7 linked regions of the Neurospora crassa OR74A genome follow. The protein of the gene in region 6 interacts with the protein of the main gene of each other region in a biochemical or structural test. Links are inferred from orthologs where the notes say so. Each region holds a gene or a part of one and is shown on either strand. Other genes may lie near its edges.

Region 1 (3,935 bases), on a different chromosome or scaffold from region 6:
AGGGATACCAGATCGTAGTTTTCGACTATCGTGCGCTTGTCGATCGATTGCCTGAGTAGAAAGTCCGTGGTTAGCCAAATCATGTCCCATGACCGGCACCTTCACGTTCGCCATAAATACTCACTTGAAGAGCATATGCAAGCTGTCCCTAAGCGCCAAAAGTACGTTGTAGAGCAGAACTTCGTTCTCGTCCGCGCTACCAACGACGTAGATAGCAACGTCCGACTCCATCTTGTAAAGCACCACCTTGTTGTCGTAGAGGAGGATATCGCCCGTCTGCTTAGCTGTCTTCTGAAGGAGGCCCTTCTCGAAACGGGTTTGAGAAGTCTTGTCGGGATAGGGGTTCTGGGAAGCGCTCGAGGAAGCTGTTGTGCACAAGGTTCGGGCTGGTCAGCCTTACGGGAACATGCGACACCGAATAAGGGGTAAAAGGAGCGTCTATTGCGTACCGAGTCCGGCGGCCACTCCTGTTCCTGGTGCGCCAGCGGCAGCGTGAGGAGGAGTGTAGTATTTTGAGAATATCCGCGAACCGTCATCGCTGGAGAGGATTACTGTTGGAACGCAATTGTCAACATTGCTCGACGTGGCGCGTATAAGCCAGGACCCAGGAGCAGCGTGGTGCCTAGTGTACCTATAGCGTTGACGCTATACAGCGACATTCCTGGCGACATCTTGACTGGTTATCTGGGGGTTCTTGTTTCTTGATCAATTGCTGTCTCGAGACTGGTATCGGTTGGAGAAGGTCGGCGACGAGGGGCAACTCGACTTCAATGGGCGCAAGTGGGTAGGTATATAGTGGTTAGCTTGAACTCCAGAGGTGCTGCGTAGGTAGGTAGTGCTCACAATGACCAGGGGCAGGCGGTATCGTTGGTTACCGTGGTGAGCGTGGGTATTGTGGGGTGAAGCGGTCCCTGTGATGTGGCTTGAATCCAGAGCGAACACTCCAAGCGAGGCCCCACGGCGCGGTACGTACCTTACGTACCTGACAGTTCGCACTCAAGAGCAGCACTGCAGTGGCCTCGTCCGTCTCATTTGGGTATGACAGGGGTTTTAATGGGTCAACGCGAGTAAGCCCCCGCAGACACGAACGGCCGTGTAAAGTGCTTTTATCAGAGACGCGTGTGTCGCGACTGTCTTTTTTTTCGATAGGAACGTGATCCACCTTGCCCGTCCTGAACACGCTGCCGACCTGCCAACCACCTCGCAATTACAGAGGGATCGGGAGCCGCCACAACAACACTCCAGCGTCTCCATCCCAACCTGCCCGTCTTCTGTCCCTTCTTGTTGGTTTAGTTTCCATACTTTGTATTATCTCAACAAAACCACCGAGGACAGAGTAGTAAACATGTCTTCCCCAGCAAAGCGCAGAACAACGAGAAGCTCCCAATCAGCTACTCCCCGCACTACTCGCAGCTCGCAGGCTGGTCCTTCGAGCGCAACTCCTCGCCAGACACGCGCATCACAGCTTGCCTCTAGTCCCTTATTCTACGAGCCCTCCTCGCCTGCCAATGGCGCCGCCCCGGTATCTTCTCCCTTGAGGCAGATGAGCAATACCCAGAGCACTGCCCACCAAGGCAATGCGCCGAGCTCGCCTTTGCGCCAGCAGACAGAGACCCAGAGCGATGCTGACCGAACTCCTCGCGCAAACGGACGGAGCCAGTTAATTGGGGGTATGGCTGTCAACCAAAAAAAAAAAAAAAAGGACTACACTGAATGCTGACCACACTCCGCAGACTCCTCTCCCATCCGCTATGCCTCCAGTTCTAGCCCGGGCCGTCAGCTTACTCAACAGTCCGATCTTCGTAGCGAAAGCAGTCAGCTCTTCGTCAGCTCGCAAAGGTCCGTTGCCGGTCGATCCCGTCGAGGCGACATCAACGGGGACCCTCTTCGTACTCCCGCCCAGATTCCCCGCCGAATCATCCTCGACGACGCCGGTCGTGTGATCCGCGATGCCCCTGGCTCCGATGCCAACTCGTTTGTCACCAATAACCCCAATACCTCTGAGGCAGATGCCCTTGGTGGACAAAGCCAAGGTCTTGTTTGGGGTACAACAATTTCTCTTGACGATTCGTTCTCCGCGTTCAAGGACTTTCTCAGGAACTTCACCAGGAAATACCGGATGTGGGCAGATGGCGCGGACGAGGCCGAGACTATTGGCCATCCGGATGCGGATTCGAAGCCATATTGGGAGGCACTGGAGAATATGCTGCTGCTTGGTACCAACAAGCTGTATCTGGATCTCCGCGACCTCAAGTCCTACCCGCGCACCTTGAAGTTATGGCATCAGGCCCAACACTATCCTACCGAAATCATCCCGGTCATGGATCAATGCGTACATGACTGTATGATGGAGTTGGCGCAAAAGGAAATGGCCAGCCAAAGAGCATCCCAAAACTCTAGGACCGCTCCAGGTGCCTCACAAAGCTCGGAGCCGAACTTCCCAAGCTCTGAAAGGAGCGAGGAACCGCCCACCCCGCGGCCTGCCCAAACAGCGGCGCCCACAATTGAGGACCAAGTCAGCCAGATGGCGTATGTGGTTCGCCCGTGGGGTCTTGACAAGATCACCAACCTCCGTGACCTCAACCCATCTGACATGGACAAGCTTGTGTCCATCAAGGGTCTTGTCATCAGAACCACGCCGGTCATCCCCGACATGAAGGATGCATTTTTCAAGTGCAGTGTTTGTGGTCATTCTATAACCGTTCAGTTAGATCGTGGCAAGATTCGTGAGCCTACAGAGTGTCCTCGGGCTCGCTGCGCCTCCAAGAACTCAATGCAGATCATCCACAACAGATGTGCTTTCGAAGACAAGCAAGTCATCAAGCTGCAAGAAACTCCGGATAACGTGCCTGCTGGTCAGACACCCCACTCGGTATCCGTTTGCGTCTATAACGAGCTTGTGGACTTTTGCAAGGCCGGTGACAGAGTTGAGCTCACTGGTATCTTTAAAGTCACCCCCGTTCGTGTCAACCCGCGCATGAGGACGGTCAAGAGCGTGCACAAGACATATGTTGATGTTGTCCATGTACAAAAGGTCGACCGCAAGAGGATGGGTTCTGATCCCTCGACCCTCGACCTTGCCGAGGAGGAGGAAGCCCATGCTAATGGCCAGAGCATGGACGAAGTCCGAAAGGTCTCTCCTGATGAGGAAGAGAGGATCAAGGAAACTGCCGCTCGACCGGATATCTACGATCTCCTTTCACGTTCTTTGGCTCCATCAATTTACGAGATGGATGATGTGAAGAAGGGTATTCTTCTTCAACTGTTCGGAGGCACGAACAAGACCTTTGAGAAGGGTGGAAGCCCCAAATACCGTGGAGACATCAACGTTCTCCTCTGTGGTGACCCATCCACTTCCAAGTCCCAGCTTCTCTCCTATGTTCACAGAATCGCCCCAAGAGGTGTGTACACGAGTGGTAAAGGTTCTTCTGCCGTAGGTCTTACCGCCTATGTTACCCGCGATCCCGAGTCCCGCCAACTCGTTCTAGAGTCCGGTGCTCTCGTCTTATCCGACGGCGGTGTCTGTTGTATCGACGAGTTCGACAAGATGAACGAATCGACCCGCTCCGTTCTTCACGAAGTCATGGAACAACAGACCGTGTCCGTCGCCAAGGCCGGCATCATCACCACTCTCAATGCCCGAACATCAATCCTGGCGTCTGCCAACCCCATTGGTAGTAGATACAACCCTGATCTATCAGTGCCGCAAAATATTGACCTCCCGCCAACCCTTCTATCCCGTTTCGATCTGGTCTACCTCATCCTCGATCGTGTTGATGAGAAGAATGATCAGCGTCTGGCCCGCCATTTGCTCTCCATGTATCTCGAAGACAAGCCCGAGAGTGCCCAGCAGGCCAACGACGTCCTTGTGAGTTTTTCCCCGTCTGTCAATCCACACGAAGATGAACCCCAAACTAACCAACTCCCCCTCAAAA
Region 2 (4,218 bases), on a different chromosome or scaffold from region 6:
ATACCACGGGAATGGTGGATAATGGTGGAGGACCTTGCGATGCCGCTTTCCTGTAGCTTGAGCTGCGTCGAGCGGGACCCGGGGCTTCTATCGATGATATGGACGTAATGGATGAGCTGGATGCCCTCCTGGATGCGCCAGATCGTTTGCCCGGTCGTAGGTGGCCATCCTCGGCTGAGGTTGCGTCCGCCTTGCTACCTCGTCTGCTGTGAGTACCAGATGCCTCTTCTTCGTCTGCCTGAACCCGTCGTAATTGTTCGTATAACGCGCCGACTTGGGTGAGATATTGTGTGAATTCGGAATTGTCAATGCGAGGGACATTGGTGAGCGTGACAGGTGGAATGTCTCGAGCAGTCGGAGGCTTATGCGCAGTGGAAGCGGGTGCTGAGGTATGGGGAAGGAGGCCGGTTCGGACTATGGGCGGTTGGAGCAGGGTTGAGATGGCGTTCTGACCGGACTCTAGGACGGCGTCACCCCAGGTACCAGTGGAACTGTCGAGAGAGCCACCGATGGAGTGTATGGAGCCCGCCGTCGAATCCCGTCGAGAATGGAACGGGCGGCTCGGACTGCGTGAGCCTCTCCTTCAAGGAGATGTTAGTGTATATTACGGAAAGGGCATGGACAGACAAAGCGCATCGCACCCGTGGAAAGGAAAGTCGCCAAACCGCCCGGCATCGGGTATTGGCGAAAGACTATCGACCGACTTGCGAGCACCCTGGTTGGAGAACATGATGGCTCATAAGTCTCCCGGAAGTCCTAGGCCTAAGCTCAGGGGAAGACGAAATGGCCGTTGGTCATGCGCCGGTGGATTGGCGACGTGGGAAGATGGGGAGGGGGTTCGGTAATCGGTATTAGTCTATCGAGCTGTAGGCGCGGGCCGGCAGGCCAAGGGAAGCAACCAAGGTAGGTGGCGTTGAGGCTATCGTGGTCCAGAGTATGGGCGGTTACTGCGAAGGGTCACGGGGGTATCATAGCGAAACGAGAACAAGACAAGAACCAGATTGTATTTTCCACAGAAGATGGCCAAGAAGAGGCGCAAAGCTGTAGTCTCGACGCGAGCAGGTGTTGAGGTCAGGGACTCGGAGCTGCCTGTCGAATGTCAAGGTCCCCCCAATTCACAGCGGAAGCCACGCAGCGGGCATTGGATCCCACAGGACCCTTGTTCGGGATACGTAGCGCAGTTGAATGAAGCTCCGCCCGCCACTGATGATTACCTACGCAGTAAGTATACTGTGGTATGTATTTGAGCGGGCCACAAAGCTGGGTCTTGCACCGGTTGCTGCAAAAGTGTCTGGAGGGTGAACCCCCCCTAGCTGGATATCCTTTTAAGCACTCCTTTTCCTCCGCACTTCAGGGGGCCTGCCTGCTGAGCCGTCAGGTACCTGCCATTCAGCTACAAGTGGGGTGCCCATTAAAACCCCTGCCAAAAATCGCGTCTTGGGTGTGCAGTATCAATGTTTCTCGCGTCGCGGTTTTCGCACATGTTTTGCCATTTTGGATTCTCCCTCTGTTAGTTGTCTTTCTGCCCCCAACAACCCCTCCCTTCTCTGCTATTTTCTACAATTCTCCCGGTGCGAACATCTACGGCCAGTGCACGCGAGTAAACAAAACAATCACATACCAAGCCACCGTCAGCTATGGATTATCAGTCCGTCTTCTCAGCCCGGACCTACGCCGGCGCTGCTTCTTCATATGTACCAGAGGAGGACAGCAACCAGCACATTCGCGCCCAGCTCGAGGCTTTCATTCTCGACTTCCGACTAGATAACAGCTTTATCTACAGGTTCGTACTCTGTGTAGCATACTCCTGTCCTCTGTCGAGCTTCCTGTTAACATTACTCCTTCCAGAGACCAACTACGAGAAAATGCCCTTCTAAAGAAATACTACTGCGATGTCAACATTGGCGACTTGATCAAATTCAATGAAGAAATTGCCCATAGACTAGTCACCGAACCCGCCGAGATTATCCCTCTGTTCGAGGCCGCTCTGAAGCGCTGCACACACCGAATCGTCTTCCCAAACGAACCCAAGATAGACCTGCCCGACCACCAACTGCTTCTACACTCCAACGCCGAAGATGTTTCTATCCGTAACCTCGACTCCCTTACAATCTCCCGGCTGGTCCGGGTACCTGGTATCGTCATTGGTGCCTCGGTAATGTCGTCCAAGGCGACTGAGCTCCACGTCCAGTGCCGCAACTGCGGCCACGTCCAACACGTTCACGTATCCGGCGGCTTCAGTGGCGCTACCCTTCCCAGGACATGTGGCAGAATCAGGGCACCTGGGGACCCTGGCGAGAAGTGCCCAATGGATCCCTACTTTGTACAACATGAAAAGTCCAGATTCGTCGATCAGCAAATTATCAAGCTTCAGGAAGCTCCAGACCAAGTTCCCGTCGGTGAACTGCCCCGCCATGTCCTGATTTCCGCCGACCGCTACCTCACGAACCGCGTGGTGCCCGGCTCAAGGTGTACCGTCATGGGTATTTTTTCTATATACCAAAGTGGAGGCAACAAGAAGTCCACAAGCGGCGCCGTCGCCATTCGCACACCCTATCTCCGCGCAGTCGGTATCCAGACAGACATTGACCAAACAGCCAAGGGTCTGGCTGTCTTTTCCGAGGAGGAAGAGCAGGAGTTCCTTGAGCTTAGCCGTCGTCCAGATCTCTACAATGTCATGGCCGAATGCATCGCGCCGTCCATCTATGGAAATAAGGATATCAAAAAGGCTATCCTCTGTTTACTCATGGGTGGCTCCAAGAAGATCCTTCCAGATGGCATGAGGCTTCGTGGTGATATCAACGTCCTCATGCTTGGTGATCCCGGTACGGCCAAGTCACAACTGCTCAAGTTCGTCGAAAAAGTCGCTCCTATCGCCATCTACACCTCCGGCAAGGGTTCCTCCGCCGCCGGTTTGACGGCTTCCGTCCAGCGTGACGCTTCCACGCGCGAGTTCTACCTCGAAGGCGGTGCCATGGTTCTCGCTGACGGCGGTGTCGTCTGTATCGATGAGTTCGACAAGATGCGCGATGAGGACAGAGTGGCAATACACGAAGCTATGGAGCAACAAACCATTTCCATCGCCAAGGCCGGCATCACCACGATCCTCAATGCTCGAACTTCGGTCTTGGCCGCCGCTAACCCCATCTTTGGCCGCTACGACGACATGAAGACCCCGGGCGAGAACATCGACTTTCAGACCACCATCTTGTCGCGTTTCGACATGATCTTCATCGTCAAGGATGAGCACGAGCGCGGCCGTGATGAGCGCATCGCCAAGCACGTTATGGGTATCCATATGGGTGGTCGTGGTGTCGAGGAGCGGATTGAGGCAGAGATCCCGGTCGAGAAGATGAGGCGGTACATCAGCTATTGCCGATCGTAAGTTGTTTATGCTCCTATCTACCACCTTAGACACATAAAAACTGACATTGTCGCTCCTCCAGCCGCTGCGCCCCGCGCCTCTCTCCGGAAGCCGCCGAGAAGCTCTCCTCGCACTTCGTCGCCATCCGCAAGCAAGTGCACGCCTCAGAGCTTGAAGCCAACGCGCGCTCCTCGATTCCCATCACGGTCCGCCAGCTCGAAGCCATTGTGCGCATCACCGAGTCGCTCGCCAAGCTGACGCTCTCGCCCGTCGCGACGGAGAAGCACGTGGACGAGGCCATCCGGCTATTCCTGTGCTCGACCATGGACGCCGTCAACCAAGGTGGCAGCACGGGCAGCAATCGGGAGTTGAACGAGGAGACGTCCCGCGTCGAGGCCGAGCTGAAGCGCCGCTTGCCCATCGGCTGGAGCACCAGCTTGGCGACCCTGCGCAGGGAAATGGTGGAGGGTAAAGGGTTTAGCGAGGTGGCGCTGAATAGGGCGCTGATGATGTTGCAGAGGCGGGATACCATTATGTTTAGGAACCAGGGCGCGCAGGTTTATAGGAATGGCGCGTAGAAGGGATGGTGGGGAAATGACGGAGTGTTTTTCGAAGATGTTCCGACGAAAAAAAGAGAAAAGAAAAGCAAAACCGAAGCGTTCTTGCTCTGCTATTTTATTTTTCTTTGGGTGTACAGGTTAACAAGTACAATATGGGGTTTCATGGCAATGGGCGTAAGGGGGGCTCTTCCAATTTTATTTGGGTCTGACATGGTAGATATTTTGTCTGTCACAGTTTTCAACGGCCAGCTAGAAGACACACATTCGATGATCTTGCTGCAGTTTAGTATTCTC
Region 3 (4,165 bases), on a different chromosome or scaffold from region 6:
AGTCTACCGGGAACCGATTACCGTGTCTACATGATGGAGCTGTACGACATGGACCACAACAGCACAGCTCGTTGACGATAAGGGTGGTTTTCGTCCCGCCTTCGAAGAAATCGTACGACCAGAACCGCAGGAGAGAGTTGATGCTGTATGAGGCTAATGGCAAACGGCATAAAGTTGATGACCATATGTAACTTGCCATAGCCATGTCTGCAAGCGGGCAATGACGGCTCAAGTGAACAGTCGGGAAGTCGAAACAACAAACACAACACATTTCACGGTAGGATCCCGATGGGATCCCGATGGTGATGGGCTCTAGTCGGGTACGAAAACCACGGGAAAATCAAGGAACCAAAGGATGTATTCAGCCGTTGCAGTTGTTGAGCGGAACCTCAAACCTGACTGCCGTGAGAAGAACGGATGTGGGGCAGTAATCGCCGGCTAGGAGCAACGTCTATCGGACCGTTGAAAGTTGATGTAGCATGTGAACGACGCAGCAGGGGAGACAATGATCATGGGGAGCTCAGGATGGCACACTCTGGCTCGCGCTTGGAGCCGTCGAGAATCATCACCCGACTGGGGTCGGTTTTGCTCGAGTACTTGGGCGCTTAGGCTCATAAGTAACATTGGTACCAGTGAAGCTGCGAAAGCCCTGCGTTGGCTTATGGGTTAGAGACTCCAAAGAGTGGATCGAGTAACTTTTAGACACTCGTGGCTTCTTTCCATTTTACACTTTGGTAACAATCACTTTGTTTCACCCATGTCGTCCACTTAACAGGACCCAACAGATGTTGTCCTATGGTCATACTTCAACTGCTAACACGAAGCATAGCACAACTACGAAGTATGAACTTGTAATTTAAAGGCTGGGAGGCACACATGTATGTGAGGTACACACGCTAGTGACCAACAACACTACTGAGGTTTCGGCCGCCTTGAGGTTGTTGTTCTTTCTCTTCTCGTTTTCGGGGCAACACAACGTGGGCTTGCTCGCTGAGGATCAAAGGCCATGCGGAGTACCGAGGTCTTGAAGACACTGTCGAGCCAGACATGGACGCTGGTCAAGTTGAAAAGGCCGAGAGGTACAAGTTAGAAGAGATCAAGCATGTGCAAATTGACCTGGAATGTATGTACAATCTTCGTGGAAGTTTTGTTATCGATAGTAAATGTAACCTGGAAACTACACTGAGTGGAAGTCTGGAGGGCCGAGGTCTGGTGTAGGTGGTTAGATACTGGAAATTACACGCTTCTTGATGGCAATTATGGGTAATGACGGTATCAGGTACAGCCCCGCTTGTATCAATTAAGCCCCCTGCCTGAAGCAAGGGGTTTAGCGCGACTCGCGTGTCGTCGACGCGTTTTCCACTTAAAATCGTATCGTTTCGTTTTGTCACTTTTCCATGGCGGCTCCGCAAGGTGAAGCGCATGCGCCAAAACAAAACATCGGCGACTCTTTCATTCTTCTCCAGCAATCTTTTTGGACGACAAGAACGGAGGCCACAACGACTAGCCTTACTCCGCGTCCGAACCCGTGTTACCTTTGTTTCCCGTCTGTGACACTGGCTTGAAGAGTTGTTCTTTGGATTAATACCTTCAAGATGGATTACAACGCCCTCCGCGACGAGGCCGTACGCGACCGTGTGCGCCAGGCCCAGGAGTTCCTCGATCCTCGTACGTCGAAGCTTGAAGCTGATGCTGGCCCTTTGTTCACGACCGAAGCATGGAACGAAACTAATGGCGAACCTTATCTACAGATGACCAGCACCAGCGAAGCTACAGACCAGACATTGTGTTGATGCTCCAGAAGAACCAGAGGAGACTCGTCGTCAATATCGATCATGTCCGCGATCACAGCTCTGAGGTAGCCGAGGGTCTACTTACCGATCCCTTCAACTGGACCCTCGCCTTCAACCATGCGCTCAAGACTATCGTCAGCACCGTCCCCCAGGCCCGCCCCGATCAAATAGACCCCGACGTCTTATACTATTGTGCCTGGGCTGGCAGCTTTGGTCTACACACCTGCAACCCCAGGACACTGTCCTCCCAACACCTCAACAATATGGTCTCGATCGAGGGCATCGTAACAAGGACGTCCCTGATCCGCCCCAAGGTTGTCAAGAGTGTACACTACAGCGAAGCCAAGAAGACATTCCACTACCGCGAGTACCGCGACCAGACCATGACGAACGGCATTGTCACCAACAGCGTCTACCCGCGCGAAGACGAGGAGGGCAACCCGCTCGAGACCGAATACGGCTTTTCGACCTACCGCGATCACCAGACCATTTCCATCCAGGAAATGCCGGAGAGGGCACCTGCTGGTCAGCTGCCCCGAGGCGTCGATGTGATTCTCGACGATGACCTGGTAGACCGCGTCAAGCCTGGCGACCGTATCCAGCTCGTCGGTATTTTCCGGACGTTGGGTAACAGAAACACAAACCACAATAGCGCCCTGTTCAAGACGGTCATTCTGGCCAACAACATCGTCCTGCTGTCCTCCAAGTCGGGTGGTGGTGTGGCTACAGCTACCATTACCGACACCGATATTCGCAATATCAACAAGATTTCCAAGAAGCCAAAAGTTTTCGAGTTGCTTTCACAGTCACTGGCTCCCAGTATCTACGGACATGACTACATCAAGAAGGCTATCCTGCTTATGCTGCTGGGCGGCATGGAGAAGAACCTGGAGAACGGTACACATTTGAGAGGTGACATCAACATCCTGATGGTCGGTGATCCTTCCACCGCCAAGTCGCAGCTCCTTCGTTTCGTCCTCAACACTGCTCCATTGGCTATTGCCACGACTGGTCGTGGTTCTTCCGGTGTTGGTTTGACTGCTGCTGTCACATCCGATAAGGAGACTGGCGAGCGTCGTCTGGAGGCTGGTGCCATGGTTATGGCTGACCGTGGCGTCGTCTGTATTGATGAGTTCGACAAGATGTCAGACATCGATCGTGTTGCCATCCACGAAGTCATGGAACAGCAAACTGTTACCATTGCCAAGGCCGGTATTCACACCTCCCTTAACGCCCGTTGCAGTGTTATCGCCGCGGCCAACCCTATCTTTGGACAGTACGACACCCACAAGGATCCTCACAAGAACATCGCCTTGCCCGACTCCCTCCTGTCGCGTTTCGATCTTCTCTTCGTAGTCACCGACGACATCGAGGACACCCGTGACCGACAGGTATCCGAGCACGTCCTTCGCATGCACCGCTACCGCCAACCCGGCACCGAGGAGGGTGCTCCTGTGCGCGAGAACGCCGGTCAGGCCCTCAACGTCGCCCTCAACGGGCAATCCGAGTCCCAAAAGCCCACCGAGATGTGGGAGAAGTACGACGCCATGCTGCATGCCGGAATCAAGGTGCCCAGCGGCCGCGGGTCTGCCAACAAGAAGCCCGAGATCCTCAGTATCCCCTTCATGAAGAAGTATATTCAATACGCCAAAACGCGCATCAAGCCGGTACTGACGCAGGAGGCTTCCGACCGCATTGCTGACATCTACGTGGGCCTGCGCAACGACGACATGGAGGGCAACCAGCGCAAGACGTCGCCCATGACGGTCCGTACGCTCGAGACGCTCATCCGTCTGGCCACCGCCCACGCCAAGGCACGCCTGTCCAACCGCGTCGAGGAGCGTGACGCCGCCGCTGCCGAGTCCATCCTCCGCTTTGCCCTTTTCAAGGAGGTGGTCCAGGACGAGTCGCGCAAGAAGCGCAGAAAGACCCGACCCGCCGAGGGCGAGGATGGCATGTCCTCCGACTCTGACGACTCTGATGACGATGACGACGACGTGGCAACTCAAACCACCACAGCCCGCTCCAGCGCTGCCAGAGCTTCTCGCGCTTCCCGCGCTTCCCAACGCGCCAGCCGACGCACTCCCGCCAATGGCGCTTCCTCCTCCTCCGCAGCAAACGCCAACGGCACTCCCAGAGAGGAAGAAGAAACCCAAGGAGCAGAAGAAGAGGAAGAAGACATCTACGACGCCACCCCGCGCCGCTCAACAAGATCTGCTCGCACAACCGGCGACTCACAACCATCCTTCGCCTCTTCCCTTCCCGCCTCGCAACTTCGCTCCACTCGCTCCCAACGATCATCTCGTCGCACCGCTCAGAACCAAGACGACGAAGAAGAACTCGCCTCCGGAGCCGCCAACCTCAACGTCGAC
Region 4 (4,288 bases), on a different chromosome or scaffold from region 6:
AGATCCGAGTCGTCGTCACTATCTTCCTCGTTGTCCTCCTCCTCGTCCTCATCGCCGCCGGCGTCGGACTTGGCTTTCTTTTTCTCTTCTTTTTCCTTTCTCTTGGCCTCCTTCTTCTCGGCCTTGATCTTTTCCTTGATCCTTCTCTGCATCTCCTTGGCTTTAGCTTTGGCCTCTTTTTCTTCGGCTCGCTTCTTGGCCGATTCACGATCGAGAAACTTTGTGTCTGGCCCACCGCCGCCACCAGTACCGACGACAACATACACTCCGCGCTTGTCATCTAGACTAGCCACTACGAGAGGTGTGCCACGACCGCCATGGGCGAGCCTCCCGCCAGTGGCTTCTTTTTCCTGTTCCGCGAGTGCTTCACCGATCCAGAGCGCTAGCTTGGTCAAAGCGCCGGGGTGGTTGAAGAGTGTCGCATCTGGTGAGTCCTTGACCACGCACATGCGAAATGCGCGCAGATGAGATATTTGTTTCTTCTTCAAAATTGTCGTGCCAGTGGTGAAGATGGCCTTGTGTAGATACTGCGCCGTGGGAAGGCCAGCCTTAAGGGCCTCGATGTCCTCCAGCGCATCATACGCCTCCCAGAACCTGGGGATCCACTCCTCACTTTGGCTCTGGTTGTTGTCTACGTCGAGAAGATCCTGAGATGGGCCAGCAGGAAGGTCATCAGCACTAGTGGTGTTCTTCCCCACTTCCAACAGGGCTCCGACTACGACACCGACATCTTGCGCACTCAGGGTTGCCCTCCAACCCCAACTGCGTACAAAGCCCCATCCATCTTTGGCACCTCCACGATCTTTCCCGTCCGTGTCTATGGTCGGGACAAGTTCGTCGAGGTTGTAGAGAGACGCGTATTTTAGTAGTTTGGTGCGAAGTTCGCGCTTCAACATCATGTCCATGTGGGCATAACTCTGCTTGCACTGCACCAGACTGACACCCATCTTGGCGAGAAGCTTGTGTAATCGCTTCATGCCAGCCTCGCTCCACGTCTTTAGCCGAGAGAAGAGGTAGGGTGAGTGAAGCATGCTGTCGTATAAACTCCAGTGCCTAATAAGCAGGAACTTGGGCTCCGGCGACAACCTGATACTGGTATCCTCCGGACTTCGAGCGGTTGTTGGGATAATTCCTGTCGTCTCGGGGAGCACCCGGCCGTTTCCTATCTCTGGTGGGTTGAGACGTCTGACCTCGTCTCGCAGAAGCTGCCGTATTCTCGCACCACGCATGCCGAGCCAACCGGAAATGCGGGCGTCTGACCTGCGAGCTGCTACCGCAATACCGGCAGATGAGCGGCCGTACAGCTCCATCGACGTGACCCCAACGATCGCTAACCATAGCAGGTCGTTGTCTTCACGACCCAGTTCTGACGCAAGGGAGTACATCATGGACGAGATGGGCTCCGAATATGATGTACCCAGTCGGTAGTACTCGCGCAAAACTCCCTCGTTTTCTCGTCGTAGTCGTAGCAATCTCCGTCGGAGGGTGTTGGCTGAAGGGCCTCTGGGTGGTTGTGCAGCAGGCGGAGCTTCCAGCGCGTCACTGGAAAATAGGGCATCGTCGCGTAGAGATATGAGACCACGGTGTTGCGGTCGTCGAGGCGAATCTGGAATTGGACTCGACTGTATCTGGCATGAGAGATGTATTACTATGAAGAAATCGGAATGTACTCACCGAATTGCTTCTTCGTCGCTGTCTGGGTCGGTCGTCTTCATCATCGTCCTCGTCGAAGTCCGACCATGATTTCCTCTTTCTGCCTGCAACAACCGATGTATCGCCCGTGTCTTCCTCGTTCTCGCTTTCGTCTTCATCACTGTCGCCCAAGTCTCGGCCATCATCTTCGATTTCGGGCATATCCACTAGCGCCAGATACGCATCTCGTTCCTTGGAGAGCTCATCTTCAATGTCGCCGTCATCCATGACAATGATGCCGCCTTTGCCTGGTTTGTATGCTCGCTCTATCCGGCCGCCATTGACACCAATGGGGGTTCGCGCAGAGAATGTCCTGGCCTCTTGCGTCTCTGGTTCGAGGGGAAAGCCGCCGAAAACGTTGCCCAAGTTCCACGGGCGATGGGAGTCGATCACCCACACCTCTACACCCCCAAAGGTATTTTCTTCGCCCTCGGGCTCAAGTCCCAAAACTGTGCCGAGGTCAACCATACCACCCACTCCCAAGCATACGACGACTCCTCCAGCACCACCACGGGTCTCCATCATGGGGCTGACGAGCTCAGTGCCGGCACGTTCGAGGTCGGAGTAGCCAGCGACTGGCTGGATCTTGTGCGGAATATAGTCATGTTTGAGAAGTTGGGTTAGGATACGGCAGGCACATAGCGCATCGGTTTCGAGAGCGACCAAGATGAGGACGGGCGGCGATAGTGGATGGCGGGTATTTTGCAAGTGGAGGTAGAGTTTTGATATAAGCTGTCGAGGGAGATACATTGCGAAGGGAGAATCGGTATCGAGGGTGGATCAGCGAGGGAAATCGGCTGGGGACGGATTGTCGAGGCGGGGCGGCGAGGCGACGTCGTCGTGGGATATTCGCCGGCGTGGAACACTTCAGTTGTAGTTTACTCGAGGTAACTAACTTCGAACTCTGTTCACTGGGCAGAAAAAAAACCGACGGGGGATGCGCGACGCGGCCTGCCCCGCGTTAAGAGCTTTCTGCTCTGGACTATGTAGCTTGAAATATACGATGGCAAAAAAATACTGGTGTGATGGCGATGCACGTCAGTCGGATAGTGTTGTCGCGGTCGACAATAATTCGGGCGAGGGATGATGGTGTTGATAGGAGTGTTCCTTTGTTGATGTTGGCCAGGATCCTTTAATTGACATGGAAGGGCGGCCAACCAGCGCTGCGCTTCGGACGCGCTTCGAGACGCGACTCTGTGAAAGTGGTTTTGTGCCAGGGCGGGCACAGCGTGCATTACTTAGATATCAACCACTGCAGTGGACTGCAGGGGGGGCGTCAGCACAAAGCGTGCAGTGAAAGGACGCGGCCGGAGCGACCAGTTTGCTTGTACCTAGAGGTACCTCTACGTACTTGTAGTGGGGCTTTGGGTTTTGGGCAGGCAAGACGGGAGGTACCTATTGTAGAGCTGGGTAAAGTACCTACCTACCTACTGCGTACAGTAGTATATCAAGAAATGGCGGGGTACAACGCGAAGTGGAATTGCCCAGGGCAGCTGCTGACAGCCAAGGCCACAGGGGCACCCCGGGGCGGCCATCCCTCGACCGAAGCACGGGCATTGGTACAGTAAGTAGGTAGGTAATAAGGTAAACCAGGTAGGTACATCATAGCCCGGCAAATGCCTGCCCAGAGGACAACGGAACAACGGCCAGTAAGGTTCCTGCACGACAGCAATGCGATAGAAGCTTCCACTTCTGCAACTTGTCCACCTGGTCGAACGTGGAATTTCACGAGAATTTCTGCCGGCCGATGTCCCTGGATTTTAGTGAACTCTTTAGTTGCCGTGGAATCATCTGAGAACACTGTCACCGTGGGGCTGCCCAACAGCTGGAACTGAACTAATTTATCAACCTGGGTGACCAGCTGTGCTCTTTCCACTCCATCTCCTACCATAGCATAGGTAGGTGTCCAGACAGGCATCGATGTCCCACAGAAAGGTCCGCGGTGAAGGAACGGACCGGGGATGATGAACTATTCCGAAATTGCAGAGTGCGGATTGAAGTACAATACCTAGCACAGGAAGGGACCATCTAACGATGTGCTTTCCAATCCTGGATTCCGGATCAGCGTCTCCGGATTTCCGATTCGACCTATAATCCAGCTTCCATCTTCGCTTCTCTTCCTCTGTTTAGTTTGGTCCCTCTTTTGTCAATCCACATTTCCATCATTGCTTGGATCACAACACAACAACTGCCGCACACCAGACACCACTCACAACACTGGCCATCCACCACGACACCCACACCACGCCCCGTCTCGTCGGCGACAGTCTCAATTTCACTCCATCCGTGCTACTACAGTAGCCAGCCGGCCTGCCAAGCCAGCCACGACGGCGGCCACTCTTGCGGCCCACGCTTTTCTACGGTCAACCTGACCGCTCCTCTGCCTTCACTGACCAAAGCAGGAAGGAGGCTGTTCAGAGGAACTGACTGATGGTTGGGCCCAGCAACGAGGTGATCGACACGCTTCTCAAAACACTTGTGGTTTGTAAGTTGCCCTGGGGTGCGTCTACCGTGTAGTAGTGTACACTAGAGTCAAGCATGGAAGCGACCCGGGGACTTGGGCAGGTAGCCAGCCAGACCTTGCCAGATATACGCT
Region 5 (3,972 bases), on a different chromosome or scaffold from region 6:
GGGTCGACTGGACGCGGTAGTTGAGCTCGACGATGACATTCTGGGCGGGCTATCCATGAGGGTGGTTCTGTGTCAGCTAGTCTCCAGTGGCATTCCATGGTTCTTCTTCTGACTGGGGGTCTTACCGTGTTGACATTGGAGAGCAGGGAGGCCAGTGACGGTGGCAGGTTGACGAAGCAGTTTTGGAGATGGACCAGGGAGATTTCGGCAGCGGTAGACTGCGCGTTCTTTCTGGGAGCCATGGTGGGTGGCTGCTGTCGTCGTCGTCGTCGTCGTCGTCGTCGTCGTCCGTGTCGACTACTTGTTATGGTGGTGGTGGTGGTGGTGGTGGTGGTGATGATGCTGTCGTCGTGGTGTTTGGCATAGGCGATGATGAGATGACAGATGAAAGGGTCCTGACCGTACCTAGCGAAGGTCACTAGGTAGCTTAGTTGGCTGAGTCGACCTACTAGTCTAACAATTACACCGAACAACGGGAATCCATCCGCCCCATCAATCCCCGGGTTCTTGTTGTCTTGGGCGGAGATCCAGGGGCATGATTGGTGTTGTTTTCAGCTGATTGGGGAGAACCTGGAGCCGCGGCTGGAGCCCGATTGGAGCTTCTCCAGCTGTCCCCAGTTTGCATGTGCCGAGGCACGCCACGACCTGGTACAGGGGGTTTCGGGCATGTCCCAGCGCAGGTACAGCCGCATGGAATTGTTAGGGGAATACATGAGCATCAAGAAGCCATCATGTTGAAGGGAGAAGATATCCGGATGGAAACTGGAGAAAGAGGCCAAATCTGAGGCATTGAAACTGTATAGATGAGTACGAACGTGGGATATGAAGTATAACCTGTTTCCAGCAACTCAATGCCATGAGATGGTACTTCACTTCACACTCTTATGGTTGACATGTTATGAGGCTCAAGTCGATAATCATGTTCCTGGACAACACTGACACGCCTCCTGTATAACTCATTCCTGCCACTCACTGCCACCTGCCAGGGGCATTCTCCAGTGTCTAGAGTAGAGGTAGGGATGCATGTAAGTACCTTGGCCCATTAAAGATTCCTTTGCCGGACCGCGTCTCATCGCGACTCGAACCGCGACAGTGGAGTCAACTGAATGGACAGAGGACCCACTCTTTCATGCTCCTCCATTCAATCAATGTTGACATCCTTCGTCCAACAAAACAAAGTCGAATTCCCCATCGCAACACAACCAAAACAATCCCCAGCCAGACCTTTGACCACACACCGAGTTGCGCCATACTATCCCACCCACCACATCTCTCACCATGGCGCTCCTCAGATACCCCGCCCCCGTCGACTACGACGCGCAAATGTGTAGGTGGTGACTAAATAATTTCAATTACGACGAGGGAAAACTTTGATTTGATGATGGCTTCTCGATCGAAGCGCGGAGGATGGATTGCAAGCAAGAGGCAGGCTGGGCGCTAACCACAACGATTCGAACAACAGCCGCGTTCGAAAACTTTCTCGACGACTTCAAGACCTCGCCCCAAGACTCCATCACCCATGCGCTAGGCAACATCGACATCAACGAGGACGACCTCAGCGACGAGTATGACTTTATGGACGACGACGACGACGACGATGCCCAGCAACAGCGCCGCTCCGAAAGAGCGAGGAGACGCGCCCCCCGCCACAAGTACAAGGAGCTTCTCCAGGAACTGGCCGACCGCAAGATCAACGAGATAGTCATCGACCTGGACGACCTGCAGTCATGGGAGGAGGACGTCAACGAGGGCCTCAAGCTGGTTGAGTCGGTAGAGCGCAACACCAAGCACTACGTCGAGGTGCTCTCGCGCGCCGTCGACAAGCTGATGCCCCAAACCAGCAACGACATCACATTCAAGGACGATGTGCTCGACGTCCTCATGGCCAACCGCCAACAGCGCAACCGCACCCTCACCGAGGCCGCCGAGAACCTGCGCGACCCCGACATGCTCAACGACACATACCCCGCCCAGCTCACCCGCCGCTACACCCTCGTCTTCAAGCCCCGGACCATGACTGCTGATGGGCCCCAAAAAGCCCTGTCGGTCCGCCAAGTGCGCGGCGATCATCTCGGCCACCTGATCACCATCCGCGGTATTGCTACCCGTGTGTCCGACGTCAAGCCCATTGTCCAGGTTGGCGCCTACACGTGCGACCGCTGCGGTTGCGAAATCTTCCAGCCCGTCACCGACAAGCAGTACGCCCCCCTGACTCTCTGCCCATCCAAGGACTGCAAGGAGAACCAGGCCAAAGGTCAGCTGTACCCGTCGTCGCGGGCTTCCAAGTTCCTGCCCTTCCAGGAGATCAAGATCCAGGAACTCGCCGAGCAGGTCCCCATCGGTCAGATTCCCCGTACCCTTACCGTGCTTGCGTACGGCAGTCTGGTCAGAAATGTCCACCCCGGTGACATTGTCGACATCTCGGGAATTTTCCTCCCTACTCCTTATACCGGCTTCAAGGCCATGCGCGCCGGTCTGCTAACCGACACCTACCTCGAGGCCCACCACATTGTCCAGCACAAGAAAGCCTACACCGAGATGCAGATCGACCCCTCCCTGCTCCGCCGTATCGCCAAATTCCAACAGACCGGCAACACGTACGAGTACCTCGCCAAGTCCATCGCCCCCGAAATCTACGGCCACCTCGACGTCAAGAAGGCCCTCCTCCTTTTGTTGGTCGGCGGTGTCACTAAGGAAGTCGGCGACGGCATGAAGATCCGCGGCGACATCAACATCTGCCTGATGGGTGACCCCGGTGTGGCCAAATCGCAACTGCTCAAGTACATCTCCAAGGTAGCCCCGCGCGGCGTGTATACGTCTGGCCGCGGTTCCTCGGGCGTTGGTCTCACCGCCGCCGTAATGCGCGACCCCGTGACAGACGAAATGGTTCTCGAAGGCGGCGCCCTCGTGCTCGCCGACAACGGCATTTGCTGCATCGACGAGTTCGACAAGATGGACGACAACGACCGCACCGCCATCCACGAAGTCATGGAACAACAAACCATCTCCATCTCCAAGGCCGGCATTTCCACCACTCTCAACGCGCGCACCTCCATCCTCGCGGCCGCCAACCCGCTTTACGGGCGGTACAACACCCGTCTCTCGGCCGTCGAGAACATCAACCTCCCCGCCGCTTTACTCTCCCGTTTCGACATCATGTTCCTCCTCCTCGACACGCCCACGCGCGACACGGACGCCCAACTCGCCAAGCACGTCGCCTACGTGCACATGCACAACCGCCACCCCGACATTGGCACGGGCACCGGACCGGATTCATCCGTCTTCTCCCCCGAGGAAGTCCGTGCCTACGTCGCCAAAGCCCGCGAGTACCGCCCCGTCGTCCCGCAAGCAGTCTCCGAATACATGGTGAAAACCTACGTCCGCCTGCGCGCACAGCAGAAACGCGCAGAGAAGAAGAACCAGAACTTTGGCCATACCACGCCGCGTACTTTGCTAGGTGTCGTCCGTCTTGCGCAGGCTTTGGCTCGGCTTAGGTTCAGCAACACCGTCACGCAAGATGATGTTGATGAAGCTCTCCGTCTCGTGGAAGCTAGCAAGGAGTCGTTGGCGCAGGATGATAGGAATACTGGCAATAAGAGGGCAATGAATGCTAGTAGTAGGATTTATAACCTTGTGAAGGGGTTGGCGGATAGTGGAGCGTGCAGACCTGATGATACCCCAGAAGAGGAAGAAGAAGATGAGTTTGGGGTGGAGATGAGTTTGAGAAAGGTCAAGGAACGGGTGATTGCCAAGGGCTTTACGGAGCAGCAGTGGTTGAGTGCGTTGGATGAGTATACTGATTTGGATGTGAGTTTTCTTTTGCCCCCTTTTTTTTACTTTCTCTTCTTTTTTTTTTTTCCTTTCTTTTGTTCCTTTTTCTTTCCTTTTCCCCTTCTAGTCTTTCTTTCCCCTTTCTTTTTTTCCCCTTCTTTTCTTACCCTTTCGTACTTCCATTCTTTCCCCTTTCTGTCT
Region 6 (4,153 bases):
AACCCAAATTTGGGACGCCCGGCGGCAAAATTGTCCACGTCAACGCGTGTCAATGGTGAGCACGGCAGCGAGGCATTCGAGCGAGTCGAAAACGGGGCAAAAGGGTAAGGCTGGGACTGGAGCTAGAGGATCCTATGACCGTTCGTGATGCCGGGGCCGCGCCTGTTAGACTTGTTGATGGGGTTGGAGAGACCGATCAAGGGGAAGAAAGGCATATATACTGCTGCAATAACTTATAATCGTCATTGATGTTGTACTTGTCATTGTCGTCTTTCTCAACTTCTCTTATTCTTTCATTCGTTCTCTCTCGGGCTGGTTTCCGACCGCTGTTATTTTCTTTCTAGGCGTAGCATACACCCATCTCCGCATCGGCCCTCGCTTGCTAGACTCACCTGTTTCTGCGAGTACAAGCCCAATCAGGAGCCATGCGTCATCCGCTCTCTCTCCGCTTCTTCGCCAACTTCACTATTACCATTCTCCTTGCCTGCAACATAGTCTCTGCCTTTCATGTTGAAGATCTCCTTTACACCTTGCGATCGCTGAGTAAGTCTCGAGTACCAAGCTCAAGATACCGGAAGCTCTAAGCACTGACGACCCCCTCCCTCATCACAGAAGATGCGCCATCCGGTAGCGCGGTTCTCAAAGCCCGCAGCTCGAACTTCACCGCTCCTGCTTCCGCTCCGGCTTCCAATGGCACTGTTGGCTCCTCCCATCCTGACTCGACGGACAAAAAGGAAGGGGGGCTTGGCCTAGGTGGTCTGTTGCATAACCTCTTCGGCCGCCATGATACGTCCACCGCCATTACTCTCAATATCCGGGCCTCAAATAGCACCGTAACCCCTGCTGGTGTTTCCAACGGCACTATCCTTGGCGGTGCCTCCCATCCAGACGCGGCAACCAAAGGAGACCACGGATCCCTTGGACTTGGCGATCTCCTTCACAAGATCTTCAATCACCACAACACGCCCACCATCCCTGGTCCTCTCGCTGGCCGCAGCTCGAATAGTACTGTCCTTCCCGCTGCCGCATCCAACGGCACTGTGCCCACCGGCTCTTCCCACCCGGATGCAGCAACAGAAAAGGGACAGGGGCTCGGACTGGGTAGTCTTTTGAGCAAGATCTTTGGCCGTTCTGAACCTGTGCCTGTGTCTGTCGAGCCTGAAGATGTTGACGAGGTTGACGGCGAGGTTGGTATGCTTATGAGTCTCAACCGCCGTGCCAAAAAGGACGGGGAGAATAGGCTGAGCCGTGAGGAGAGGAGGAAAAATCGGGAGAAGAGGCGTGTGAGAAGGGCCATGTCTGCTGCAACTGAGTCTAAGAAGGAGGAGAGGCATGTTGATCGCTCCAGAGTGTCCCGCGGGTGAGGGTGGTGGCTAGTCGTCGGCCAAGCCAATTTGAGCTTCGGCTATCTTGTTAAATATTCCATAGACCGTGATGGACGAAATAGTGGTATACCCAAATGAAGGATCCGATGTCGCTCGCTAGTCACCCACCAATTGACGAAGTCCGAGTTAACAGAGAGTGCCGAACCTCATGTCCTCTTAATATCTCATGAGTCTTCCTCATTATTAGGCCAGATGGTCTGCTGTGCCGCTGACAGCACAACTCTGTGAAGATCAGCGATGCGTAGGATACTCATCCGGCGATAGCAGTCCAAGTCCGCCATACTTCCAGGGGAGGGTGACACAACTAAACCCCCAAGAATCCTGTCTCCTTCGTGGTATCCCGATGCTCTCGAGCCGTGATAATGACTGATCCACAGCTTCGTCATGGTAAATGAACTTGGGAGGTCGCCGGTGGCCTGTTGTTATATACTGCATCGAGCGCAGTCCGAGAATCATGGAGGATGCTTGAACCGAAGCGCTGGTTCGTTGCGAGGTAAAGACCGATCGGGCGCCAGCGGTAGCAACAACGCTCCAACAGTACCACTCCACTCACCTCTTCTTGACATTCTCCATCCACTCCTTGCTCGCCTTCGTCCCATCATGTGCACTCCTAAACAGCTTCCTCTCCCACTCATCCAACCCTCTCAAAAAGTCCTCACCAGCGCCTCCCACGCCCAAATTGCTGGCATTATCGTCCTTCGTCGCCTTCCCCTTGCCCTTTCCTCCGGCTCCTCCGCCATCTCGACCATGATACGAACTTCCGCCCCCACCCACCTTCCTAGCATGCAACGCAATCTCCGCCGCCCTCGAGACAAACGTTTTCCTTAACACTGCGCTCAGCTCCGGCTCCTCTGACAACTCCATCATGTGCGTGGCGAGGGCGTAGAAGTGGGCGCTCTGATCGCGCAGCGGCACGGAGCGCGGGTCGGCTTTCAAAGCTTGGACAACGTCGTTACCCAGTGCCGGGGGCAGGTCGAAGGTGATGAAGGATTTGCTGGACTGTGATGGGTCGTCCATGTCGACGGCGCCCGTATTAGCGATGGCGAGCATTTCAGCCAGCCAGATGGGGAGAGCGACGCGCGAGCCGGACTTAAGGGTGTGCCCCGGTTGGTTGTCGAGATAGCCAAGGTCGGGGACGTCGATTTGAAAGGTACAAGGAATTTTCTGGGGAGGATCGTCGGGTTAGTTGGTGTTTTGGCGTTGGGTGATGATATGGTGGGGGAGGGAGATGGAGGGTACCTCTGCGTCAGTCAGGATCGCATCGATATCGTAATATGACATGGTGGTGATTTTGGTAGCTTCAATTGGACCAGCCTGGCGTTTGGAGATGAGTTGGACAGTGTTGAGTTGGACAACTGACCCAAACCAAGTTTTCGCCAGGATTTCGAGATCAATCAAGGTTCTGGGGAGACGCGCTCTGGAAGTGGGAGACGCGACAGAGGAAGAGCGCCGCCATGCCAAGAGACCGCAATTAACACTGTGGCTTACTCACCACTCAGAGACGGCTCCTTGTTCCACTTTCAGCCACACGAGCCATAGAGGTACCCACCTCTTCCCCTCGGCGGGGTGGGGCTATGACGGAATTAGTTGGAACGGTTTCCATGGAGCTTCCATCATCATCCGAGCTTATTAGATAAGTAAATGGAAAGAGACATTTCCGATAGTCGCAATCAGTCGGCCAATTCACTTACTCTGAGGTAGCCGCCGTCCCATTGATCATCTAATTTTCCTCTTCTCGCACTTCAAGACCTAACCACTTCACCTAATTACTAGTCTTTCTCTCGATAAACAAGCCGTCACAATGTCCGCATCCCTCTTCCGCGCTACTCCGGTCGCCCGCAGCGCTCTGCGCGCCGCCAGCGCCGTTAAGCCCGCCGCTACCTTTGTCCGCGGCAAGGCCACTCTTCCCGACCTTCAGTGTAAGTTCTTTCCTCCAACATTCGCTCGCTTTGCAATGCCCGCTCCTCATTTCAGTCTATCCTCCCTCCGCTTCGGCTTTGAGGAAAAACCCCCCAAGCTAACTCACTCTCCTTTCCCTAGACGACTACGGCGCTCTTGAGCCCTACATCTCCTCCAAGATCATGGAGCTCCACCACTCCAAGCACCATCAGACCTACGTCAACGGCCTCAATTCGGCCCTGACCACCATTGCCGAGGCCGAGTCCAAGGGTGACTTCACCAAGGCCGCCTCGGTCGCCCCTCTCCTCAACTTCCACGGCGGCGGCCACCTCAACCACACCTTGTTCTGGGAGAACCTGGCCCCCGCCTCGCGCGAGGGTGGCGGTTCACCCGATGGTGCTCTCGGCAAGGCCATCACGACCGAGTTTGGTTCTTTCGAGAGCTTCGTCAAGCAGATGAATGCTGCGCTGGCCGGCATCCAGGGCTCGGGTTGGGCGTGGTTGGCCAAGGATAAGGCTGCGAACGGCAAGCTCGCGCTGATTACCCGTGCCAACCAGGACCCTGTTACTGGTAACTATGTGCCCCTGTTGGGCATTGACGCGTGGGAGCATGCGTACTACTTGCAGTATGAGAACAGGAAGGCAGAGTACTTTGAGGCGATCTGGAACGTGATTAACTGGAAGACTGTTGCCAAGAGGTTTGAGGCTTAAGTTGTATATACCTTGGGGTGTAGTAGCAGGGGCGCTTTAATTGACTAATGTGTTGCTGCTGTGCAGAAAGCTTGTGATTGTTTGGTGGTAGTGTTGTATGTGATATTACTTGCGGTTACGAGAAGGTCACGAAGCGTCATGTCAACGGTGCAGGAGGGT
Region 7 (4,217 bases), on a different chromosome or scaffold from region 6:
CCCACGATGCACCCAGGATGGTACCAATCCTCCCCACAACCACCCGTTTCTGCCGTGCCTAGGCCCAGACATTGAAACATGGTCCCCTTCTGCTCAAACGGGTCATAATCGCACTCGCAGCCGCAGAACCGATTCCGGAAGTTATGGTTGTACTTGTTGTTGACATCTGGTTCCTCCGAGTGCACGCCGCCCTTGGTGCCCGTCTCCTCATTGATGCGCAGGTTGCACGGGCTCGTGGGCGGGAAGCGTGTGGTACCGCAGTCGCAGGTGAAGTTGCGCTTGGCAAAGATCTCGACGAGAGTGTGCTCGCCGTGACACTGGACGGAGCAGGAGTAGCAGATGCCGGCCGCATTGTAGGGCGCTTTCGGGTCGGCGGGTGGTGGGTTGCAGGTCAGGCAGGAGAAGACGGCCTGGCGGAGGGGGCCGAGGGGCTTGGTGCAGGTTTCGATGCTCTGGTGGGAGGTTAGGATTGACTTTAAGGAAAAGGGCAGAGAAGACAAGGGACACGCACGTATGGAAGAGCTTCGCGAGCGTCGGCCTCTAGTTGCATTTGGTCGCGGATGAAGCTAGACCATGGTTAGTACTTTGTCATGTGGTAAGTCCAATATATGACAACATACTCTGCGGCAGTCTGAGAGTTTTCTGACTTGGCGGAGAAGCTTTCAGTACGAGTCTTGGTGAGCGCGACTGGTGCTGGAGCTCCATGGCCATCTGGAGTGGCCTCGGCGGGCTGTTGCGCCGGTTGAGGGTCCATGGGTGATGGATGCTTTCACGGTCAATCTTGGATGGTCGGTGGTCTATCAAAATTGTTGATAAGACAAATGCCTCGAGATGGTGCTGGATCACGAAAGATGGGTTCTGTCCGGAAGTCTTTAAAACAAAAAACAATTGCTGGGGCGCGAAGAGGAGGAGGAGGAGGGGGAGGAGGAGGAGGAGGGCGCGTTGGTGGAAGCGTGGGGAGAAGGACCGAGCTTGCAATGTACCCTTGGTTTGGTGTAAGGCACTGTGGTCTATATGTCCAAGCAGCACAGATTGGAATTGGGTTCAAGGAAACCTATTTGAACGTGATCCGATCAATAACATGGCCCTGTAGTATGTAGCACCTTATAGCTCATGCTTTGCTCGTCATTGTTCACTGGACTTTGAGCTTTTGTGACTTTTTGGGAATCTCGACGAGTCGAATTGGCGTGTAAGAGCAGCACCAAGTGGGTCCGGTACGCATTGCCAAGCCCATTAAACCTCAGCAACCACTTAACGCGACCGCCCTTATCCGGCTTAGCGCATCACGTCTGGCGCGTCTTCCCTGGACTGCAACGCGAGAAAAAAGCAGGGACAAGGTCGCCGCAACGAAGGGCAACATTCATTCAGTGGTTCCTCGACGCTGTTTGTCTCCATTCCCCTCCCCCCCCCCCCCCCCTTCTCTCTCTCTGTCTCACCCCGCAACATATCCTCTTTCTGGCTGGCATTCATTCTCCATAGTAACAACTAGGCCAGCATCCTCCACTCTCTTGTTTCTTCCATCTGTAGCTGGCTACAGTCCTCTGAGATACCCTCAGCCAAGTCGCAATCATGAGGTATGTGTGCCTCTTGCTCTTTCGTCTGTCACGGCTTCTCTTCGCAAGTAAACAGTGAATTAACGGAAACTCTCCAATACCAGTTCCCCGCTTCGCGACAACCCGTCCTCTGCCAACCGTGGCGCCGTTCCCAGGGCCACTCGCAAGCGTGCGCGTAACGATCACGATGGTGCTTCCTCGCTTCCCCGCGCTTCGAGCCCTGTCATGCCCTCTTCTCCTCCCGCCTTCCCAGTTGCCCATGGCGCAGATGAGGACGACGACATCGAGGAAGACGTCGCCGCTGAAATCGAAGACGACATTGACGACCTCGACGAGTTGGCCGAAGACGATGTAGATTTGTTCCGCGAAGGCTTCGAGCGCGATTATAGGGAACGAGACGAAAACGACGCCTACGAAGGAATTGACATCGACGATGACGAGTATGAGGCCCTCGACCCCGCCGCAAGGCGCCGTCTTGAAGCCAAGTTGGCCCAGAGAGACCGTCAAGTGAGGATGGGAATGGGCACCACGTATCTTCCTGGTGATGACGACGATGGTGATATCGACCTTACCAACCTGGAACGCCGCCGAAGAATCCGCTACAATGAAGACCCCGATGTCGATATGGATGGCGACATTATGGACTCGGAACTTCCCCTCGAGGCCCTGATGGATGTCAAGGCTGCCACTTTGAGCGAATGGATCTCAGTCCCGGCTGTACAAAAGACCATCCGCAGAGAGTTCAAGGCTTTCCTCACAGAATACACCGACGAGAGCGGTTCGTCCGTCTACGGCAACCGCATCCGTACTCTTGGTGAGATCAACGCCGAGTCTCTCGAGGTCTCCTACGAGCACCTCGCTACAGCCAAGGCCATTCTCGCATACTTCCTCGCCAATGCGCCAACCGAGATGCTCAAGCTCTTCGACGAGGTTGCCATGGAAGTCGTCCTTCTCCATTACCCCGACTACGAGCGCATTCACGCCGAGATCCACGTCCGTATCTTCGACCTTCCTATCCATTATACCCTCCGTCAGCTCCGCCAGTCGCACCTCAACTGTCTTGTGCGCGTGAGCGGTGTCGTCACCCGCCGCACCGGTGTCTTCCCCCAGCTCAAGTATGTCAAGTTCGACTGCACCAAGTGCGGCGTCACTCTCGGTCCCTTCCAGCAAGAGTCCAACGTCGAAGTCAAGATCTCTTACTGCCAGTCCTGCCAGTCTCGTGGCCCCTTCACCCTTAACTCCGAGAAGACCGTCTACCGCAACTACCAAAAGCTCACCCTCCAAGAATCCCCCGGCACCGTTCCCGCCGGTCGTCTGCCCCGTCACCGCGAGGTCATTCTCCTCTGGGACCTGATCGACAAGGCCAAGCCGGGCGAGGAGATCGAAGTAACGGGCATCTACCGCAACAACTACGACGCGCAGCTCAACAACCGCAACGGCTTCCCCGTCTTCGCCACCATCCTCGAAGCCAACAACATTGTCAAATCCCACGACCAGCTCGCCGGCTTCCGCATGACCGAGGAAGACGAGCACGAGATTCGCCGTCTCTCGCGCGACCCGCACATTGTCGACAAGATCATCAACTCCGTCGCCCCTTCCATCTACGGACACACCGACATCAAGACCGCCGTCGCCCTCTCCCTCTTCGGCGGCGTCGCCAAGCAAGTCGGCGCCCACCACATCCGCGGTGACATCAACGTGCTGCTCCTCGGCGACCCCGGTACCGCCAAATCACAAGTACTCAAGTACGCCGAAAAGACGGCCCACCGCGCCGTCTTCGCCACCGGCCAGGGTGCTTCCGCCGTCGGTCTGACGGCTTCCGTCCGGCGCGACCCGCTCACGTCCGAATGGACTCTCGAGGGCGGCGCCCTCGTCCTCGCCGACAAGGGCACCTGCCTGATCGACGAGTTCGACAAGATGAACGACCAGGACCGCACGTCCATCCACGAAGCCATGGAGCAGCAGACCATCTCTATCTCCAAAGCCGGTATCGTCACGACCCTGCAAGCCCGGTGCGGAATCATCGCCGCTGCTAACCCTATTGGCGGGCGGTACAACTCTACCATTCCCTTTTCTGCCAACGTGGAGCTTACCGAGCCGATTCTGTCTCGTTTCGACATCCTTTGCGTCGTGCGCGACACAGTCGAGCCTGAAGAAGATGAGCGGCTGGCGCGCTTCATTGTCGGGTCGCATTCGAGGAGTCATCCGTTGATGAACAACAACACGCAGGACGCTAGCGGTGGTGACTCCATGGAGGTTGAACACGATACCCAAGCTGCTGCGGAAACCCAACAAACTGGTGAACACGGCCGTAAAAAAGAGGGCGAAATCCCACAAGAGCTGTTGAGGAAGTATATCCTTTATGCCCGAGAGCGGTGCCAGCCAAAGTTGTATCACATGGATGAGGATAAGGTGGCGAGGCTGTTTGCGGATATGAGAAGGGAGAGTTTGGCGACGGGGGCTTATCCTATTACTGTAAGTTCTTCCCTCTTTCCTTTTTCCTTTTTTTTTTTTTTTTTTTTTTTTTTTTTTTTTTTTTTTTTTTTTTTTTTCTTTCTTCCTCCGTCACAAAATACAACACAATAACAACTGCTAACCTCACCCACCACCACCTTAGGTCCGTCACTTGGAAGCCATCATCCGCATCTCCGAAGCCTTCTGCCG

What was found.
Region 1: the proteins of NCU09561 (region 6) and NCU02539 form a complex in vitro, tested with the Saccharomyces cerevisiae proteins (2 studies listed by BioGRID). The link is inferred for Neurospora crassa OR74A from reciprocal best matches to the Saccharomyces cerevisiae genes PSF3 and MCM4.
Region 2: the proteins of NCU09561 (region 6) and NCU01171 form a complex in vitro, tested with the Saccharomyces cerevisiae proteins (2 studies listed by BioGRID). The link is inferred for Neurospora crassa OR74A from reciprocal best matches to the Saccharomyces cerevisiae genes PSF3 and MCM5.
Region 3: the proteins of NCU09561 (region 6) and NCU08009 form a complex in vitro, tested with the Saccharomyces cerevisiae proteins (3 studies listed by BioGRID). The link is inferred for Neurospora crassa OR74A from reciprocal best matches to the Saccharomyces cerevisiae genes PSF3 and MCM3.
Region 4: the proteins of NCU09561 (region 6) and NCU04378 form a complex in vitro, tested with the Saccharomyces cerevisiae proteins (2 studies listed by BioGRID). The link is inferred for Neurospora crassa OR74A from reciprocal best matches to the Saccharomyces cerevisiae genes PSF3 and CDC45.
Region 5: the proteins of NCU09561 (region 6) and NCU08119 form a complex in vitro, tested with the Saccharomyces cerevisiae proteins (2 studies listed by BioGRID). The link is inferred for Neurospora crassa OR74A from reciprocal best matches to the Saccharomyces cerevisiae genes PSF3 and MCM7.
Region 7: the proteins of NCU09561 (region 6) and NCU04327 form a complex in vitro, tested with the Saccharomyces cerevisiae proteins (2 studies listed by BioGRID). The link is inferred for Neurospora crassa OR74A from reciprocal best matches to the Saccharomyces cerevisiae genes PSF3 and MCM2.

The regions. Positions count from the first base shown.
Region 1 is NC_026501.1:2,664,377-2,668,311, forward strand, and holds the start of NCU02539 (cell division control protein 54), read left to right. Parts: upstream 1-1,135; 5' UTR 1,136-1,345; coding exon 1,346-1,670; intron 1,671-1,733; coding exon 1,734-3,868; intron 3,869-3,935. Other genes in the region: NCU02538 (coatomer zeta subunit), read right to left, coding at 1-51, 125-365, 450-551, 632-671. UniProt on the Saccharomyces cerevisiae protein: Acts as a component of the MCM2-7 complex (MCM complex) which is the putative replicative helicase essential for 'once per cell cycle' DNA replication initiation and elongation in eukaryotic cells.
Region 2 is NC_026505.1:3,119,120-3,123,337, reverse strand, and holds the start of NCU01171 (DNA replication licensing factor mcm5), read left to right. Parts: upstream 1-1,418; 5' UTR 1,419-1,637; coding exon 1,638-1,783; intron 1,784-1,848; coding exon 1,849-3,381; intron 3,382-3,446; coding exon 3,447-3,942; 3' UTR 3,943-4,218. Other genes in the region: NCU01172 (GARP complex component), read right to left, coding at 1-581, 642-730. UniProt on the Saccharomyces cerevisiae protein: Acts as a component of the MCM2-7 complex (MCM complex) which is the putative replicative helicase essential for 'once per cell cycle' DNA replication initiation and elongation in eukaryotic cells.
Region 3 is NC_026504.1:3,901,905-3,906,069, reverse strand, and holds the start of NCU08009 (DNA replication licensing factor mcm3), read left to right. Parts: upstream 1-1,365; 5' UTR 1,366-1,595; coding exon 1,596-1,668; intron 1,669-1,751; coding exon 1,752-4,165. Other genes in the region: NCU16827 (hypothetical protein), read right to left, coding at 1-271. UniProt on the Saccharomyces cerevisiae protein: Acts as a component of the MCM2-7 complex (MCM complex) which is the putative replicative helicase essential for 'once per cell cycle' DNA replication initiation and elongation in eukaryotic cells.
Region 4 is NC_026504.1:3,568,033-3,572,320, forward strand, and holds the start of NCU04378 (DNA replication initiation factor Cdc45), read right to left. Parts: upstream 2,801-4,288; 5' UTR 2,443-2,800; coding exon 1,675-2,442; intron 1,623-1,674; coding exon 1-1,622. UniProt on the Saccharomyces cerevisiae protein: Required for initiation of chromosomal DNA replication. Acts at the origin of replication. Also has a role in minichromosome maintenance.
Region 5 is NC_026501.1:338,887-342,858, forward strand, and holds the start of NCU08119 (DNA replication licensing factor mcm7), read left to right. Parts: upstream 1-1,172; 5' UTR 1,173-1,278; coding exon 1,279-1,327; intron 1,328-1,462; coding exon 1,463-3,807; intron 3,808-3,972. Other genes in the region: pex1 (peroxisome biosynthesis protein), read right to left, coding at 1-49, 126-242. UniProt on the Saccharomyces cerevisiae protein: Acts as a component of the MCM2-7 complex (MCM complex) which is the putative replicative helicase essential for 'once per cell cycle' DNA replication initiation and elongation in eukaryotic cells.
Region 6 is NC_026507.1:995,840-999,992, forward strand, and holds NCU09561 (DNA replication complex GINS protein psf-3), read right to left. Parts: upstream 2,801-4,153; 5' UTR 2,667-2,800; coding exon 2,625-2,666; intron 2,550-2,624; coding exon 1,935-2,549; 3' UTR 1,365-1,934; coding exon of another isoform or gene 613-1,364; 3' UTR 544-612; coding exon of another isoform or gene 426-543; 3' UTR 227-425; downstream 1-226. Other genes in the region: NCU09562 (hypothetical protein), read left to right, coding at 426-543, 613-1,364; NCU09560 (superoxide dismutase), read left to right, coding at 3,027-3,082, 3,159-3,304, 3,426-3,994. UniProt on the Saccharomyces cerevisiae protein: Functions as part of the GINS complex which plays an essential role in the initiation of DNA replication by binding to DNA replication origins and facilitating the assembly of the DNA replication machinery.
Region 7 is NC_026505.1:5,630,912-5,635,128, reverse strand, and holds the start of NCU04327 (DNA replication licensing factor mcm2), read left to right. Parts: upstream 1-1,417; 5' UTR 1,418-1,569; coding exon 1,570-1,574; intron 1,575-1,657; coding exon 1,658-4,028; intron 4,029-4,170; coding exon 4,171-4,217. Other genes in the region: NCU04328 (metaphase-anaphase transition protein), read right to left, coding at 1-452, 512-566, 621-754. UniProt on the Saccharomyces cerevisiae protein: Acts as a component of the MCM2-7 complex (MCM complex) which is the putative replicative helicase essential for 'once per cell cycle' DNA replication initiation and elongation in eukaryotic cells.